Linked DNA regions of Saccharomyces cerevisiae S288C. The gene in region 3 interacts genetically with the main gene of each other region. Each region holds a gene or a part of one and is shown on either strand. Other genes may lie near its edges.

Evidence for each region.
Region 1: of NMD3 (region 3) and RPL10, a mutation in one rescues a mutant of the other (synthetic rescue), as found in Saccharomyces cerevisiae (8 studies listed by BioGRID, with this or other methods).
Region 2: mutations in NMD3 (region 3) and MTR2 are lethal when combined (synthetic lethality), as found in Saccharomyces cerevisiae (one study listed by BioGRID).
Region 4: mutations in NMD3 (region 3) and DBP5 impair growth when combined (synthetic growth defect), as found in Saccharomyces cerevisiae (one study listed by BioGRID).

Annotation. Positions count from the first base shown.
Region 1 is NC_001144.5:280,356-285,007, reverse strand, and holds RPL10 (60S ribosomal protein uL16 RPL10), read right to left. Parts: upstream 2,082-4,652; coding exon 1,416-2,081; downstream 1-1,415. Other genes in the region: FMP25 (Fmp25p), read right to left, coding at 1-1,136; BUD20 (Bud20p), read left to right, coding at 2,552-3,052; RFU1 (Rfu1p), read left to right, coding at 3,387-3,989; LAM6 (Lam6p), read right to left, coding at 4,065-4,652.
Region 2 is NC_001143.9:91,339-95,617, forward strand, and holds MTR2 (Mtr2p), read right to left. Parts: upstream 1,961-4,279; coding exon 1,406-1,960; downstream 1-1,405. Other genes in the region: FAT3 (Fat3p), read right to left, coding at 1-198; DNA-binding transcription repressor ASH1, read left to right, coding at 3,161-4,279. UniProt on the Saccharomyces cerevisiae protein: Affects mRNA transport from the nucleus to the cytoplasm.
Region 3 is NC_001140.6:442,206-446,640, reverse strand, and holds NMD3 (ribosome-binding protein NMD3), read right to left. Parts: upstream 2,814-4,435; coding exon 1,257-2,813; downstream 1-1,256. Other genes in the region: ATG7 (Atg7p), read right to left, coding at 1-928; ATP-dependent RNA helicase DBP8, read right to left, coding at 3,165-4,435. UniProt on the Saccharomyces cerevisiae protein: Acts as an adapter for the XPO1/CRM1-mediated export of the 60S ribosomal subunit. Unlikely to play a significant role in nonsense-mediated mRNA decay (NMD).
Region 4 is NC_001147.6:413,959-419,428, reverse strand, and holds DBP5 (ATP-dependent RNA helicase DBP5), read left to right. Parts: upstream 1-3,521; coding exon 3,522-4,970; downstream 4,971-5,470. Other genes in the region: ssRNA exonuclease RAT1, read left to right, coding at 1-799; STD1 (Std1p), read left to right, coding at 1,748-3,082; TOM6 (Tom6p), read right to left, coding at 5,392-5,470. UniProt on the Saccharomyces cerevisiae protein: ATP-dependent RNA helicase associated with the nuclear pore complex and essential for mRNA export from the nucleus. May participate in a terminal step of mRNA export through the removal of proteins that accompany mRNA through the nucleopore complex.

The DNA.
Region 1 (4,652 bases), on a different chromosome or scaffold from region 3:
CAAGCTATCTTTTTAATTTCTCTTTTGCGGACAACGTCTTCTCCTTCATGCTTAAATTTGTTCAGCAGTTCAATTTCGAATAGTTGATTATTGGGAGGAAACTCATCGAATTGTGAGAATGTTGGTATACCGAATTGTCCTTTGGATACTTGAGCTTGTTTTTGATCATTTCCCGTCGCGCAGCAATAAGCCTTACCTAAATTAGATAGCAACACCAGATGATGGCTACCAGCGTCAAATTGTACTACACGTTTTTCTCCTTCCTTACCGTTGAAAATCTGATTTGTTTGTAATTTCCAATCATATCTTAGTTTTGTCTTCCATGGCAACAATTTCGACCTTCTTGATGATACTTGCGAAGCTATCAGATCCGGCGTTCTTATAGGTATGACCAATATTTCACCCTTTTTATTCAAAGCGTACAAAAAGTGACTAGAATACTTCATTGAGGTCAAATCTTGATCTGGCAATATCGTTTTTGTTTGTCCCAAATCATCCCACGATATCAAATCGCCTTTCTCGTCAATTGCAAAATTGGTGTTGAAATCGTCAGAGGGAGCTAATAGGATATCTCTGAATTTACGACCATCCAAATTAGGTACTCTAACAGGGAACAATGAGTCCTTAGAATGACACCTTCCCCATATGTATACACCAGGATGATCTATTCCAAGTTGAAAGGCAGGCACTTGAGGAATCTCCCTTAATAGATTTTTGGCCTTTTGTCTGATCAATTTTTCCAACGAATCCTGTCCACTTTGCTCTTGCGTTGCATTTATGCGACCGCCATTCATCTTGATTAACCACCAGGATTTTAATTCTGGCCAACGCAAGTAGGCCGTTCCCAACCCACCCACTACCACGAGAATGAGGATCCCTTGCCCAACAGCAGATAATTTCGCCATCCTTTCCCATTGGAGTTCAGATTCCTTTGTGATCTGATCAGGAGACTTCTCAGGCCATTGGAAATGCTCGTCTGATGGCCTTTTCTTTGCTTTATATGCGCCATGGTTAATGTTCTCTGCAAACAACTCTGCTTCATCGTATTGAGGTTGTTTGGCGTATCGCCTGATGGGACTAACCCAGTTAAGGCGAGGGAGACGTTGAGAAGTCCTCGTGAATAATCTGAATGACATTAGCGGCGCACGTCCCTGTTATCGATTGCTCCCTTTCTTGTTAGACGCATTCAACAATTCTTCGTTACTGCAGCTCAGGCTTTTTTTTTTCCTGCTGGTATACAAAAAGCAACAGTGTCCATTGACTTCAGGATATATCACTACCCAACATGCTGAACTTTAAAAAAACACATAATTATATGTATTACAATAATGTATAAATATATTTACTGTTTAATAAACTAGAATTTAAATCAAAAAAATTTCTCTTTTAAGTTAGTTCAAATGTTTGAAAAGAACTTAAGCTTGAGCAGCAAAGTATTCTGGGAATTCTCTGATGTTGTTTTCCAAAGAACCCTTCTTGGACAAGAACTTAACGAAAGCACCGTCGTCCTTGACTTCACCAGCTTCTCTCTTCTTCAAGTATTCTGGTCTGTCCAAGTTGGTGAAACCCCACTTCTTAGACAAAATAATCTTTTGTTGACCTGGGAACTTGTATCTGGCTCTTCTCAAACCTTCAACGACAACATCCTTGTTGCTGTCCTTGGTTCTGACAGAGAAGATAATTTGACCAATGTCGACACGAGCGGCCAAACCGTGTGGCTTACCCCAAGCACCTCTCATACCTTGTTGCAATCTATCCGCACCGGCACAAGACAACATCTTGTTGATTCTCAAGACATGGAAAGGATGGACTCTGACTCTTAAGTGGAAAGCATCTCTACCGGAGACAGTAGTCATGTACTTGTTGGCACAGATACGAGCAGCTTCCAAAGCTTCAGAAGACAATTGTTCCAATTCGTTGGAAACCAAATGGACACACAATGGGAATTCATCGACGGTAGCCTTCTTCTTACCCAAATCGTAGATTCTGATCTTGGAGTCTGGAACAGCTCTGTTGTATCTAGACTTTGGGTAAGGCTTGTTCTTTTGGTATCTGTAACATCTAGCTGGTCTTCTAGCCATCTTGAATTAGTTATTTGATATACTGTACTTTAAAGTTTGAAAGTCCCACTCCAAAAGCACTTGCGGAAAGGATGTATAAATGGTTGCTCCACATCAACATCTTTTTATAAACTATTCTCTAGAGAAACCAAACTGACCATCAATTCTGAGATGAAAAGTTTCCTTAGTCAGCATTATTGTGCTAACTAGTTTCGGAGGGAAAAATATCGAAAAAAAAAAACCAAAAAAAAAAATAAAAAAAATGTACGGAGGGAAAAGATGTACAGGTGTAAAAAAGCACCCCACGGAAATAACCGCTACTATAATTTCATTTCTTTTTTTTCTATATCCTGCGGAAAATTTTTTTATACTGACAGGGGAAAAAGCAAATTAATTTTGCTTTTATATATGGAAAGTAGCGGGAGATGAGATGAGGTGAATTGAAAGGCAGTTAAACACACAGACAAGTGAAGATAAAACAATAGCGCATCATGGGTAGATATTCGGTGAAGAGATACAAGACTAAAAGAAGAACACGAGACTTGGACCTGATCTATAACGATTTGTCCACCAAGGAATCAGTACAGAAGCTTCTGAACCAGCCATTGGATGAAACCAAACCGGGCCTTGGTCAGCACTATTGCATACACTGTGCCAAATACATGGAGACTGCTATAGCGTTAAAAACGCATTTAAAGGGCAAAGTGCACAAAAGAAGAGTCAAGGAGTTGAGGGGTGTCCCTTACACACAAGAAGTCTCTGATGCTGCTGCGGGCTACAATTTGAACAAGTTCTTGAACCGTGTACAGGAGATCACGCAATCGGTGGGTCCGGAGAAGGAAAGTAATGAGGCCTTGCTGAAGGAGCATTTGGACAGTACCTTGGCAAACGTCAAAACAACAGAACCTACTCTACCGTGGGCGGCTGCTGATGCCGAGGCGAATACCGCTGCCGTAACAGAGGCAGAGTCTACTGCCTCAGCCAGTACTTAACAGTAAAGTAAAGATCAGAACCAAAAATAGGCATATACACTTTTTATAGTATAACACACTTCCAGTCAACTCGAATCGCTTTTGCCGCGAAACGCAATGAAAAAAAGTACGCAACAAAGAGAAATAATGAAAAAAAAAAGAAAAAATTTTTTCATTGCTAGGCGATGAGCATCGACAGTTTTATACGTAAATCAATGGTTAGATAGATAATATTAATAACATACAAGACAATTTTTGCTTCGATTAAAGTGTTGGCACGAATTATTGTTGCGGTTCACCAACCACTATACATTTTTTCTCTTCCTTCCGCATCTTTATCTGGCCCCGGTAGGTCATGAAGTCTAGTAAGCAATTGGTTCAGGACGCTAAGGATTATCGCTTCAATCCGGCGATACCATTGAGAATTTACCTGAAAACATGCATCGGCATATTGGAAAAGGCACAGTGTGCGTTCCAGGCCAACGACTTGTCGCTGTCGTTTATTTATTATTTTAGATATGTGGATTTATTGACTAACAAACTATCTAGACACCCTGAGCTTTTGCGCATGGATGCGTCGTCGTCATCGTCGTCATCGTATATTCATAAAAGAGAATACCTGCAACTCATAAAGTTGGAAGTGCCTGCGGTCTGCAAAATTATTGAAAGCTTACGCACCCAAATTGATTCTCAATACAGCAAATTGCAAACATCACTCGCTAATAATATAGCCAAGCCGAACATAAACGCAAACACAACTCCCGTGCAGGTGGAGCAACAACCACTGCCGAAGAAATCTTTCGACGAGTATAGCTTCAACCAATCAATTTCTTTTTTCCAGAAAATTTCAAACGCACAACTTAATACCGGAGCAAGCTCTCAGAGTCAGGCCACTGCCCGTGATGAAGCCTACAGACTGAATTATCCGGAGCTACCACGCCTTACATTCTCCACATAGCATCCTTTTTTTTTTTTTTTTTCCATACCATACGAACATACATAACCTTACATACAATATTACATGATTACTCTGTTACAACACGTCTCCCCTTCTTGGTCTTGACCATTGTACTTTGGCTGGTATGTCCAATAGAGTCGCGTGCGCTACAACTTCGTCCTTGTGGGTCATGAGGTTCGTCAGCTTATCCATCTTCTTGTTCAACTTCATTAAATACAGCAGATTTAACACCAAGAGCACCAAGATTATTATGTTCACCCAGTTAAACCTCCATCTGTCGCTGCCTATTTCTGAGATTTCCGCCTCAGCTTCTGGTTTCGACTCCGGCTGTACCATCGTCAGCTCCGGTGCTGCCACTTTCCTAGGTGATCCAAAAGATGTAACACTGGGCAACGGCTTGAGTGTATCTGCTTTTTCTTTGCTCAATTCCACGTATTTCTCTACAAATTCTTCGACTAACTTTACCAAGTCCTTAGTGGCGCTAATTTGTCCATTTTTACAATTGCTCTCTACCATTGGCTTGATCCAACTGGATGCGTTCCAGTCCACCCAAAAACTTATTTTTAATATGCAACCTTGCCCCTGGTCATCCCATCGGAACATGTACCTCGTTCTGGTGCTGAAACTGGTACCACTAGGAACATTTGGTGTTCTTGTTATACT
Region 2 (4,279 bases), on a different chromosome or scaffold from region 3:
GATCACCTTGCTTACATTGATGTGTTTGATATCGGCTTCACCGATGTATATATTCGTTAAGGGTTTGTAGTTGGCGGTGGAGCCAGCAGTGGCTACAATAACCAATATCAGTGTGGTGAACATGAATAAAAGGCACACAGACAATATCGTCCAAATAATTCCCTTCGACAGGGGGGTACGGTGCTTTTCGATCCTCATGTTTTTGTTGTTTTCTTTGCTTTCCTAACTCTTCGTATGAGGATTTTCGATGGAGCAGGATGAGGAGAAATAGTACCACATGTATATATCCATTACAAAAAGGTTTATATACAATTACAATAGACCCTTGTTGGGGTTTCTGAAAAAAGAAGTAGTCGATGCCATCGGCAATAATACGGAATTACGAGAAACACAATCCCGATCCTTTTTTGGGTAATTACTTCACCGATTCTACCGATTTATCATGCCAAAAAAAATTCACCGTGGGTTCTAGAAGTGCCCTTTGAGGATTGTAGCCACTCTAACCCACACGGCCTCCTTACTAGCTGACTAAGGTGACAAAACCGCAAGGACTGGAAAGTCGCCACTCATCTGAAAATTCTCAAGTTTTTCACTACTGAGTTTATGCTTTCGAATTTTTTTGTTCGGTAATAGCACGGCGGTTCGATTCAATTCCGCCGCTCCGAGCGATGCTCCGCAAAACTCAGTAATAAGCTTTCTGATGGTTCACCCCTTTTTTAGCACGCGGGGTGTAACTCAACAGAAAAATGTGCCATAGAACAAGACTAGGCAAAAGCCAAGGAGCGTTTGCCATGAACTTCCACAAGTAAAGCTCGTTGACCAGTTGATCAGTTGAGGGGGGTACACACGACTAGCGCTTTCAGATATTAAAAAGTTTAGATGTAGGTTTTAGCGGTAACAGTTATATAAATCGTGTTTCTTCTCTTGATGAAACAAAAAAATGCTAGAAAAACTTTGTCGTTTCTTACTTTTGGTGCGCTTTGCAGTTTTCGTGGCTAGACTTAGAATCATTTCTCCTCAGATTTCTTGATTAAAGTTTGGTGCGAAGCCCTACTCTAACATTGGTGTTCTTCTTTTCATTCACGCAAGTTAAGTCCAGGAAGGTGAGCAAATGCTCATCCTTCTGTTCATGCGTGACGGCTGAATTATCCTTATCTGGCGTACCCGTGCAGCCGTTTCCGTGCCTCGGTTCCTCCGAGATATCCTTAGGGACCGCCAGGGACCATGATTGCGTCAACTGTTGTCACCGCTCCAGAGGATCCTCTGTAACCTTTTCAACCATAAAAATAGAAAGGGCACAGGGTTGGGGTATTTGAATTTTTTTTTTGGGTTTTTTCGTATTACTTATTACTTACCTTCTTTTCTATATAATTTTGTTTTTCCCTGGTAGAGCGGAATCTTCCCACTAAATTTTTAGCAGAGAATCCTCGGGTTTGTAAACCATGTTATAGTTAAACCCCGATATTACACCATTAAAATCATTTCTAAATATGCGGTCGTCGATGATCAGCTGCAGGGAAATGCCAAAATATGGACCCCATAGAGGTCTTGGCTTGTTCATATCGTTGGGTCGATTTCTGTTCCCAGTGTTATTTGGTTGAATGGGAACAGTCGCGTCTTGCCCCATCTTGTCTCTGCCGCTTTCGTCGAATCTGACTTTGCAATTGACGTTGCATATCAACGTGCCGGATCCCGGAATAGCGTGATAGTCTACTCCTGTTAGGGCATGTTGTGTTTGTACGACCTGGTTTTGCCACATTTGCAGAAAAACTGTTGCTTGCGCGAAGGGGGTAGCATTAAATATTATTCTGCAGTTGTTTGGATTAAAAAGCTGTACGAATTGGGCCAATTTGTTGGAGTCCGGATCATCCAAATGCGCTAATATCTTCTTCGTAAATGTGGCCGTTATTTGTGCTTGATTTGCGTCATTCATTACCATAGTATTACTATTGGTGTTCATATTTCTGTTATTACTGTTATTAGTTTGGCGTTTTGCCTGACGATCAGCCTGGTGGGGCCAAGTATATACTATAAAAACAGGTTAGTTACTTGCTCTATGCGTTTGCGCATCCTCTTTTTACTTTTTTTTTTTCAGTAAAGCCTAAGCATAAATCGTTTTATACGTACGACACGTTCAACTTTTCTTGGTTAGTAGTGGCAATCTCTGCAATACATACAGGGAGTCATGGTCTATCATCTTGTCCAATCAAAGAAGCATCGGTTCAGATCGAGCAAACTGTAGGGAGAAAGGAAAGTAGAAATGCAGAGTGTGCTATATGTCCAATCTCGGTTTTGTAGTTTGGATGTCATTAGAGATCTACCACCCAACCGGCTGCTTTCATGTGGAACAGAAAAGAAATCGGGGCGCTTCCTCTTCTGTATTCCTTTAATTAACGTTTTTATTCAGCCATCTAACCATCATACCCCCATACGGTAACAAAACCTCTTCTAAGAAAAGAAGTCTCTGCTCCTCCGCCATCTTATTTTTATTCGCTGCGCGCGTTTATTGTCGCATCGCTAGCCAGCAAAAAGTTGGTTGCCTTTTTTTACCTAAAAAAGACACATCTAACTGATTAGTTTTCCGTTTTAGGATATTGACGCCAAGCGTGCGTCTGATTTCTACGATATGTCTCTAATTTTGGAAGGGCCATTTTATTTTTGAGGATTGGGCTGATCATTTTCCTTACGTGGATTGAGCCAGCAATACAGATCATTATTAAACTGTTTTGTACATGATGTTAGTATATAATCGTAAAGCTTTTCTAATATGTATACCTTATACATGGAACTCCACAGAACTTGCAAACATACCAAAAATCCTTTATTCTTGTTCACTCATTTTACATCAAAAAATAATATTTCAGTTATTAAGGAAAATAAAAAAATAGATTAGAGAAGCATTTTGAAGAAATAGTATATTCTTTTATTGAACCTAAGAGCGTGATATTTTTACTCGAAATAAAATACGAAAAATCTATACACTCATCTTTCCGACTACTATTGGCTCCTGCTCAAAAAAAGAGGGAAAAAAAGCTCCAAAATTCTATCTTTTCCTATCGCTCCTGTCCTATCCTTATTACGTTCATTACTATTTTAATACTATCCATTCTTTTATTTTCAGTCTAAAAAAAACATTTCTCATAACGGGAAAAGCAAAAAAATGTCAAGCTTATACATCAAAACACCACTGCATGCATTATCTGCTGGTCCGGATTCTCATGCAAATAGCTCCTATTATGACAATCTTTTATTGCCTTCATTTTCCAATTTATCCAGTAATATCAGCAGGAACAATATCACAACCGATAACAATATAAATTCAGCAAGTCCTAGGAAGTATTCGTTTCATTCGCTCAATGTGTCGCCAATTCTTTCCCCAATATCTTTGGCTAACGAAATACTTGGAAAAAAATCAAATACTGCACCAGCATCGCCACATCATATGGATTACAATCCAATTTCCTCATTAACACCAGGCAATTCACCAGAATTCAACAAGGCAAGCTTATCTCAGATTAGTTTTACAAATCCATTGAACTATGGGTCTGGCTTAGGTTTTTCCTCTAATTCACAACCTCGACTACCATTGTTAGACAGGCTATCGTCCGTCTCTTTATCTAAGAGACCGGAGCGCCCACAACAAAGCCTACCATCACTAAGGCATCTGCAATTATTACCCAGTCCTCTTTTACAAGAAAACGCAGCACGCTTCCCTGATACATCAAAACGTACATCTAATTGGAAAACTGATCTTACCCATTGGTGTAAGGATACAAACTATCAAGACTATGTTAAAATACGCGAAGAAGTGGCTCATTTCAAGCCATTAAGTATACCCAACTTAACTAATAATCAAAATAATGATAGTTTCAATTACGGCAAGGAATTGGAATCGACTAGGTCGTCCAAGTTCCATTCCCCGTCTAAGGAATCATTTGATCGTACCAAACTAATTCCTTCGATTCTAGAAGCTAAAGATCAATTTAAAGATCTTTCCAACAATGCATGGAGTATTACTCCTCCCGTCACACCGCCGATGAGTCCACCAACCAATAGAACCATGGAGCGCACGACGCTTAGAGGAGTAGAGGCCTCTTTTTTTGAGGGGAAATCCAGCAATAACGATTCAATATTCAATCCAATTATTAGTGAAAAATTGGTTCAAGAAGTTAAACATCAAAGACAATTACGTGGAAATTCATTTCCCATGCCAAATGCCAGTCACAAAAAGACGAACAGTTTCAAAGCTTTGCAAATAAAAAAATTGCTTGCGAATAGA
Region 3 (4,435 bases):
TCATTAGCTTCAAATTTAAATCCACGGATTGGTCAGCAATTTTTAAAGGATCTAACAATGAACTTAAATCAACAACACGTGGTGCTAGCTTACCTTGCACATTCCTTTCCCATCCAGAAACTTTCATATCTGGGTTACTTGAGGATGATTGTGGGTCAATAGAAGCAAATGTAGCATTTAATGCAAAGCTACCTTCGTTCTGTCTAATAATTAATAGTTTGAAATCTATCAAGTCAGGAACATCGTATTGCAACACGCTGAGAAAATTTTTGGTTAGAGCAGAAGGGACGTTTTCCATCGTACTAGTGTCCCTTATCGCCAAAACTTTAGTTTTTCGAATAATACACTTGTCATAATTTACTATTTCATCGTCTGCATCCAGTATACACACCCATTTTGAGTAATTGACATCAAACCATTTTTGACACTTTGAGAACAGCCCTTTTAAACTCGGCTCTGGCCGCACATGTAAAACTGTTGAAGAGGGTCTTTGAAAACAGGGAACACCTAACCAGTAATAAAACCTGTACTTTTTTAGGTCAGCAAAACTAATAATCACAAAAGAAACACACTTATTGATATCCTTTATTCCATCTTCCCAGCATTCCAATGCTCTTTGATGTAAAAATAGTTGCTTATCAAGATTCTTAAACTCGTCTAATACATTAAAATTGAAAATACTGCCCTGTAAAGGCACTTCATTAGTACGCTTATTATTGTGTTTTTCAAAGCTTCTATTTGTTAAGAATAATGGAACTTGATCAGCAGATTTAGGAATGTTGTGTAAATCTAGATTCACAGTAAGTGGTTGGCATGTTGAATCTAATTTCAGAACATCGAGTTTCAATCTCGATAATTCTTGGAAAAAAGATGTATCCAGAAATGATTTAAAAGCTGGTGCATAACTTAAGACCCTTTCTGACGACATTTTATTCTTGATTATCTTATATTTGTTGAAATATAATGAACTTTAGTTATCTAAGTAGCATCGTAAAATAATGAGTTCCCTTAATTTTTTTGTTTTGCCGTGCCGGAAAGGGTGTCCAAAGGAATCTCATGGATTAAAAAAGCGGAAGTTTAAAAATCTTGCGTAAGAGCTCTACAAATGAAAAATCTTGCTTGCCTATCTAGTTTTCAACATGTGGTGGCTTGTTCTTCCATAAAGTACATTTTACATCCATATATATGTATATAGATAAACTGAAATGCTAGTGTTTGTTAAGAGTATATACTACTCTCCATTCTTTGGTGTTTTTTTACTGCTGAGATTCAACGGGTGTGTTCTCGACTCCATCTTCTAATGTCATTTCATCTAACTCGTCCAATAATTCATCAATGTTGATTTGTGGAGCGTCTTCATCCTCGTCTTCATCCATTTCATGCTCTTCAGGAGGTACATTTGCTTCGCGGTTTTTGTATAGGTTAACACTTTGTCTTAATTCAGCATCCTCTTCTAATTCTTGTAAGAATAATTCGTAGTCCTTTTCTGCACGTTCCATTTCTTGCTTTTGAGCTCTTGAATTGTAATCTAAGGATGCATCGATATCTTTGTGTTCCTTAGCCATTCTCTTTAACTTCCAGTGTCTGCTCTTTTTGCTCTTTCTTTGATACAATTTCTTCACAAGAACTACATCAGGCACATAATCGATATTTAACCCATCAAAAAGATCTGAGTTGTAATTCGAGTTTGCAATGAAATAACCCATAACACTATCACCTGCATGGCAAATACCACCGAGATGAGACCTGACGTAGTAGACTTGGTCATTAACACCCAAGTCAGACGTTCTAGCAACAGTAATGTCAGCTAAGACACGATTTCCCCTGCTTATACCTGTAGAATCCACGTCCAGAACAATGAACTCCACCAACTGGGTCACATCAGCCAGGGCGTTGAATGGAGCCCTCCAGTACACAGATGGTGACAGATCCGCGGTTTGCAAAGTAGTCGGATCCATAAACTGGACAGTGTTAGAAATCTTAGAACATAGAACAAATTGAGAAATGTTACCCATAGATTTAGCCAGTTTTTTTGGTAAAACGACCAAGTCATCTTTACAGATAGGAACAATCTCGACAGAATATGAAAATTTATAAGTAGATGCACCAGTATGTGTATCTTGAGAAATAAGTTCTTCAGACTTTTTATGTTTAATCGGAACAACAGCGTTCAAAAAATCAATCATCTTAACTGCGTGGTTTTTTTGCGCATAGAAGAAATCCAACCCGTCCTTAGCTTCACTAATGGAAATGGTATCCACATGAGCATTATGTTTCAAAATCAGTTGTTCCAAAAACAAAAATGTTCTCTTGTGAGGCACTTTTTGTCTAATTTGGACAGTAGCCCTCCAAGTATTTGTAGTGTAGGATCTGGCACAGTCTGGACATTGCATCGCAATAACAATGTATTCTACTTCGAAAGTTTGCTGAATAATAGTATTTGTCATGGCTTCTCCCTGCACGGTAAGTTTAATTCTAATACGTCTAGAATGGGGTTCTGTCCAAATGAATGAAGCATCCACTAATCTGACTTTTGTTAGGCCCTTCAAACGACGCAAACAAATGGCCAGTAATTCTCTAGATTCTAATTCTGCTCTGATCCATTGTCCAGGTGGTTGCAAAAATCTTTCACAGTTTCTGCAAAATGAAATGTTCGCTTCTCTTGGAATACCTTGAGTAATGTCCACAGTCAGTTTGATACAGTCATAACACATAACCAGCCCAGTGGACCCATCGATTGGGGTACCACAGTTACAACATAGAAGAGTAGCAGCATTTTGGTGCTGGTGCGGATCTATAGGTGTGAATTCCATCCTTTTGTCAAATTCCTCAACGTTTATTAGACAATAAAATGTAGTGTTATGTACCAGGCGACAAATAAAAGATAAAGCCAAGGTTCCTCAAAACATAGTTAAATCATCACAACTGCTAGTAATTTTTCTTTTCCAATGCGATGAGCTTCAAAAAATTTTCCAACTACAAGAGAAAAAGAAAAAAAAATAAGTTACCCGTCGGTGATTGTACGTAATTGAATTTACAGCGATTTTCTCACCCGTTATATAGAAACATACTTCATATGTGCCAAAATTGTATCTATCAGTTGTCCTGGAAAACAGTATCCAGATTGTACGATATGTACGTCTTTAAATCTTATTTAGAATTTTTCAAGAGCGCAAACTTTTCCCGTCATTTTGCTTCTTCTTTTGCTGTCTTTTTCTCTCACCGAAGTTTTCCTTTTGCATTGCCATCAGCGATTCCCTCTTCGCCTTGGTTACCTTGGTCAAGGCTTTTCTTATTACAGCGGTATCGTGTACCTTGTTTGTCTCTGTCATCTTCTTGTTGATACGGTCCTCAATGGCCTGTATCCTAGAAACATCTCGCTGGGTAACGAATGATATGGCGTCACCAATTCTGCCAGCACGGGCCGTACGACCAGATCTATGGATGAATACATCTGGGTCTGAAGGTATATCGTAATTCACTACAAGCTCAACAGTTGGGATATCCAAACCTCTGGATGCTACATCTGTAGCGATGAGGATTCTTGCAGCGTTAGCTCGAAATCTATGTAAGGAATTTGTTCTTTCCTGTTGGGGCATTTGAGAGTGCAACGACGCTACCCTCACTTCCAACTGCTTCAGGGTTCTTCTAAGGATCTCCGCGGTCATTGTTCTATTTACAAATATTATAGCGGTTTTATTCTCATATTCCTCGCATGTTAATAATTGGTACAAATATGCTTCTTTGACGTGTTCTGGAACCAAGATATACTCTATTTTCAACGTCGATGGAATAGCCACATTATCTACACTTTCTACTTGGTAAGCGAACAATGGGGGTTTCCCTTTCTGCACTGGTGCATTTTGTAACGACTTTACTTGGTCCGTTATAGTTGCAGTGAATAGAAGTGTTTGTCTCTTATCCTTGGGAGGTAGAGCACTTATACATGTTGCTAAATGATCGGCAAACGTGCTAGTTAGCAAAATATCGGCTTCATCTAGAACTAAATATTTAGCTCTCATTAGCCCTCCAACGGTATCATCTCCGCTGCTCATGATATGATGTGCCAGACGTCCAGGCGTGGCAATAATAAAGTGCGGCTTCCTTTGTAAATCCAATGCCTGCTGAACGATGCTTTCACCACCAACTATAACTGACACGCGAATGTTCATACTGCTACCAAGTGCAGTAAATTGTTCGGCAATTTGCATGGCTAACTCTCTGGTTGGGGTCAAGACCACTCCAAACATCCCTGACGGATCTTCGGACCATTTAGTCAGCATAGGCCCTGCAAATGCAATAGTTTTACCAGAACCAGTCTTGGCACCACCAATACAATCTCTTCCTTCTAAGATTTTGGGAATACAAGCCTTTTGGATAGCGGTTGGCTGAGTAATTTTCATAGCTCTTAAGGATTCCGTAAGCCATTTTGAAA
Region 4 (5,470 bases), on a different chromosome or scaffold from region 3:
CGATCAGGATAGACTGTTAACAGCTGTTCGTGCACAATATCCTTTACTTTCTGATGCTGAGAGGGCAAGAAATATTCGCGGAGAACCTGTTTTATTAATAAGTAACAAGAATGCTAATTATGAGAGGTTTTCGAAGAAATTATACTCAAAGGAAAACAACAACAACAATGTTGTTGTGAAGTTTCAACACTTCAAGAGTGGTTTAAGTGGTATTGTATCAAAGGACGTTGAAGGTTTCGAATTAAATGGGAAAATTGTATGTCCGATTCAAGGTGGGTCACTGCCAAATTTATCTACCACCTTGATTTTAAAGATGTCCTATAGATTAATTCCGTTGCCATCGAGAAATAAGTCTATTATACTGAACGGGTTCATTCCGTCAGAACCGGTACTAACAGCATATGACCTTGATTCCATAATGTACAAGTATAATAACCAAAATTACTCCCGTCGCTGGAACTTTGGTAATGATTTGAAGCAAAATATTGTTCCAGTAGGACCAAAGGGTATTACTCAGTACAAACCAAGAACTGGTGGCTATCGAGCATTCTTTTATTTTGCTGAGCTCAGTAGAAATAATGTCCAACCCGCCCACAACTATGGTAGGAATAGCTACAACAGTCAACCCGGCTTCAACAATAGCAGGTATGATGGTGGAAACAATAATTACAGACAAAATTCAAATTACAGGAACAATAACTATTCCGGAAATAGAAATAGTGGACAGTACAGCGGCAACAGCTACTCTCGGAATAACAAGCAAAGTCGGTATGACAATTCAAGAGCAAATAGGCGTTAGAACTACTCGTGCGCATTTTATTTTATGGTAAATTTAGGTTTTCGCAAATTTATAAAATCTTCATACAATTAAAAAAAAGCTCTTTTAAGATAATAGTGTCTGCTCTTACAAACGACGAACAGTAATATTTTATAACAAAAAATGGAACATATTAAGTTAAGAGAAAATCATGCTGAAGCATGAATATATGAATATACGTCCTCTTGTAAAATAGCGAAATCCTTGTAAGCCAATAGACCGAACTCTATTTTGATTTATACGCTTCGTGTATTTTTTCTTCCAGATCCAGGAGAAAAAGCATGGTCTGTTCTTCTTTTTTGAAAAGAGAGGCAGTCCACGGCGAAAGTTTCGAATACGGCACTACCTTTTTTTTCTAAGTTCCTAAACTTAAAATCAAATTTGGTCTTTGGTCTGTTATCATCCAGGGATGAATGCAACATATTGGGAAGTTCATGCTATACAACGCCAACCCCTTCGCTCAAGTCACGAAAGCACATCTTACACTTCCTCCTTGGCCAATATGCAAGCGTCCTCTTCAAAAAATCTTGCAACAAACAATCGGGTAATGTGGGATGTTGTGGAAAAATGAAATAAAGTTTTCAATAAATCCGACTGAGCTAAGCAGGAAAATTTTCGTACGCGGGTTTTTGTCCAATTTTTTCCCTTCCTTTTGAAAACACGGAAAATCTTTTAGCGAAGGCTGCTCTTAGTTCCATAACGGAAAAATTCCAGGAGTTATTAAAAGACAGAGTTATAGTTTAGTAAATTTTCTTTTGAGTTAACGAGAGAGGGACGTTTTCGAACTAAATAGAGGAGAAGAAAGGCTTCAAGAAATATCGTACCGTAGGAAACCAGTTTAATATATTAGAAGCTCTCATTTACCTATCATTTTCGTTACCATCGCGATTGTAGGAGGTTTTGCACTACTTAACAGACAAATAAAACGAGATGTTTGTTTCACCACCTCCAGCAACAGCGAGGAACCAAGTATTAGGGAAAAGAAAATCGAAAAGACATGACGAAAATCCAAAGAATGTTCAACCCAACGCTGACACAGAAATGACAAATAGCGTTCCTTCTATTGGATTCAACAGCAATCTTCCACATAATAACCAAGAAATAAACACACCAAATCACTATAATTTGAGTTCCAATTCAGGAAATGTTAGGAGCAACAACAATTTTGTTACTACACCACCAGAATATGCAGACAGGGCAAGAATAGAAATCATAAAAAGGTTATTGCCTACTGCAGGAACTAAACCTATGGAAGTGAACAGTAATACTGCAGAAAATGCAAATATCCAACACATAAATACCCCGGACAGTCAAAGTTTTGTTTCAGACCATTCATCTTCATACGAATCGAGTATATTTTCACAGCCATCTACTGCTCTTACGGACATCACCACAGGCAGCTCGTTAATTGATACAAAAACACCTAAGTTCGTCACAGAAGTAACACTTGAAGACGCTTTACCCAAAACATTCTATGATATGTATTCTCCCGAAGTTCTGATGTCTGATCCAGCAAATATACTTTATAACGGACGTCCTAAGTTTACAAAGCGCGAATTGCTGGACTGGGATCTAAACGATATACGATCCTTGTTAATTGTGGAACAATTAAGGCCAGAATGGGGTTCCCAGTTACCGACGGTAGTGACCTCCGGTATAAACTTACCGCAATTCAGACTACAATTACTTCCCCTAAGTTCCAGTGATGAGTTTATAATAGCGACATTGGTTAACTCAGACTTATACATAGAAGCAAATCTAGACCGCAATTTTAAGTTGACAAGCGCAAAATATACAGTTGCATCAGCAAGAAAAAGACATGAAGAAATGACTGGGTCAAAGGAACCCATTATGCGTCTATCAAAGCCTGAATGGAGAAATATAATTGAGAACTATTTATTAAATGTTGCCGTCGAGGCCCAATGCAGATATGACTTTAAACAAAAGCGCTCCGAATACAAGAGATGGAAATTACTAAATTCAAATTTGAAAAGGCCTGACATGCCGCCTCCAAGCCTCATACCGCATGGTTTTAAAATACATGACTGCACTAACTCTGGTAGTCTTTTAAAAAAGGCTTTAATGAAAAATTTGCAACTAAAAAATTATAAAAATGATGCTAAGACATTAGGTGCTGGTACACAGAAAAATGTCGTTAATAAGGTTTCTCTAACTTCAGAGGAGAGGGCTGCCATCTGGTTTCAATGCCAAACACAGGTTTATCAAAGGTTGGGGTTAGATTGGAAGCCTGATGGAATGTCCTAGTAAATTTTTACAACAACGCAAAAACGAAATACCCCACTATTTAACCACTTAACGACATTAATATTAATTACAAAAGTGTTTGATACACGTACTATTATAGATTTCGACGACCTTTAAGATTAAGTAATACCTTTAATAATTTTAATATATTTTAAGCCTACTGCTCTAAAATTGCCCAAAAAAAAAACCCAAAAAAATCAACATTTAAATATGATGATACTCCCATATATATCGTATTTAAAGAATAACTCTGCTGTTGTCTTGATTATTTGATTGTTACATTATTATCAACGCGGTATTACCCGTATGCAAATTTTTCAATCAAGCAAAGCATTGCAAAATTTGCATTACCTTTAAAACCAGTTGACCTTTATACACCATAAAATACTCGATCAGCAACCAAGAACATCTATAAAAATACTTACCACCTTAGATCGGAATGAGTGATACAAAGAGAGATCCGGCCGATTTACTAGCTTCTTTAAAGATTGATAATGAGAAAGAGGATACAAGTGAAGTTTCAACAAAAGAGACTGTTAAGTCCCAACCAGAAAAGACTGCTGATTCGATCAAGCCTGCAGAAAAATTAGTTCCAAAAGTTGAGGAAAAAAAAACAAAACAGGAGGATAGTAATTTAATCAGCTCAGAATATGAAGTTAAGGTCAAACTTGCTGATATCCAGGCTGACCCAAATTCTCCATTGTACAGTGCTAAATCTTTTGATGAATTAGGATTAGCACCAGAACTACTAAAGGGGATATATGCTATGAAATTTCAAAAACCATCCAAAATTCAAGAAAGGGCGCTGCCATTATTATTACATAATCCGCCTAGGAACATGATTGCTCAGTCTCAATCAGGTACAGGTAAAACTGCCGCCTTTTCTTTAACGATGCTAACAAGAGTAAACCCAGAAGACGCATCTCCACAGGCAATTTGCTTAGCCCCCTCCAGAGAACTGGCCAGACAAACACTAGAAGTCGTTCAGGAAATGGGTAAGTTCACAAAAATAACCAGTCAGTTAATTGTTCCCGATTCTTTTGAGAAAAACAAGCAAATTAATGCTCAAGTGATTGTTGGTACGCCGGGCACTGTTCTTGACCTAATGCGTAGAAAATTGATGCAGCTACAGAAAATTAAAATTTTTGTTTTGGATGAAGCCGATAACATGTTGGATCAGCAGGGTCTAGGTGACCAGTGTATTCGTGTTAAGAGATTTTTACCCAAGGATACTCAACTTGTTTTGTTTAGTGCTACTTTTGCCGATGCAGTTAGGCAGTACGCAAAGAAGATCGTTCCAAATGCTAATACTTTAGAATTACAAACAAATGAAGTTAATGTTGATGCCATCAAACAACTATACATGGACTGCAAAAACGAAGCAGATAAGTTTGATGTTTTAACTGAGCTATATGGTTTAATGACAATTGGATCTTCCATTATTTTTGTTGCAACCAAAAAAACCGCAAACGTTTTATATGGGAAATTGAAAAGTGAAGGTCATGAAGTTTCTATCTTGCATGGTGATTTACAGACACAAGAAAGAGACAGATTAATAGACGACTTCAGAGAGGGTAGATCCAAAGTTTTGATTACTACTAATGTCCTGGCCCGTGGTATTGATATTCCTACTGTCTCAATGGTTGTCAACTATGATCTTCCAACGCTTGCTAACGGACAAGCAGATCCAGCTACTTACATTCACAGAATCGGTAGAACCGGTAGATTCGGCAGAAAAGGTGTTGCCATTTCCTTTGTACATGACAAAAATTCTTTCAATATTTTATCTGCAATTCAGAAATACTTCGGTGATATAGAAATGACTCGTGTTCCAACGGATGATTGGGATGAAGTCGAAAAAATAGTTAAGAAAGTGTTAAAGGATTAGAATTCAGTACATAATACCTCAAAATACGTAAAAGCTTTAATCTAATTTCATACACCAATGAATATATTATTACGACATCAATGGGTCCCATTTGTTTCTTCTCAGTTTGTTGATCCACTTTTACTTGTGAGGCAAGCTTATATAAATACAAACACAGCATATACCTTGTGATTTCGATACCTTTGTCACTCTCTTTTGTCACGGCTTTCCGGTGAACAGTAAACAGCCCGTATACAAAAGGCTTGCGTTAAAAGGAATACTAAATGTAAAGCATACTTGCTTTTTTTCCATTATATACACTGCTAACTCTACATAATTCGGGAATAAAATATAAACATATTTGACAAATTCTTTTGAGAACCCAAAAACCAATATATATACAGGTAAGTGAAAAAATCTCAACTATACAAGAACCAACCCCTTATAATTGTGGGGCCAACATGTCCATGAGTGGAGATTGAATAAACGCAACACCTGCAACGAAGAAGGCACCGTTTAGT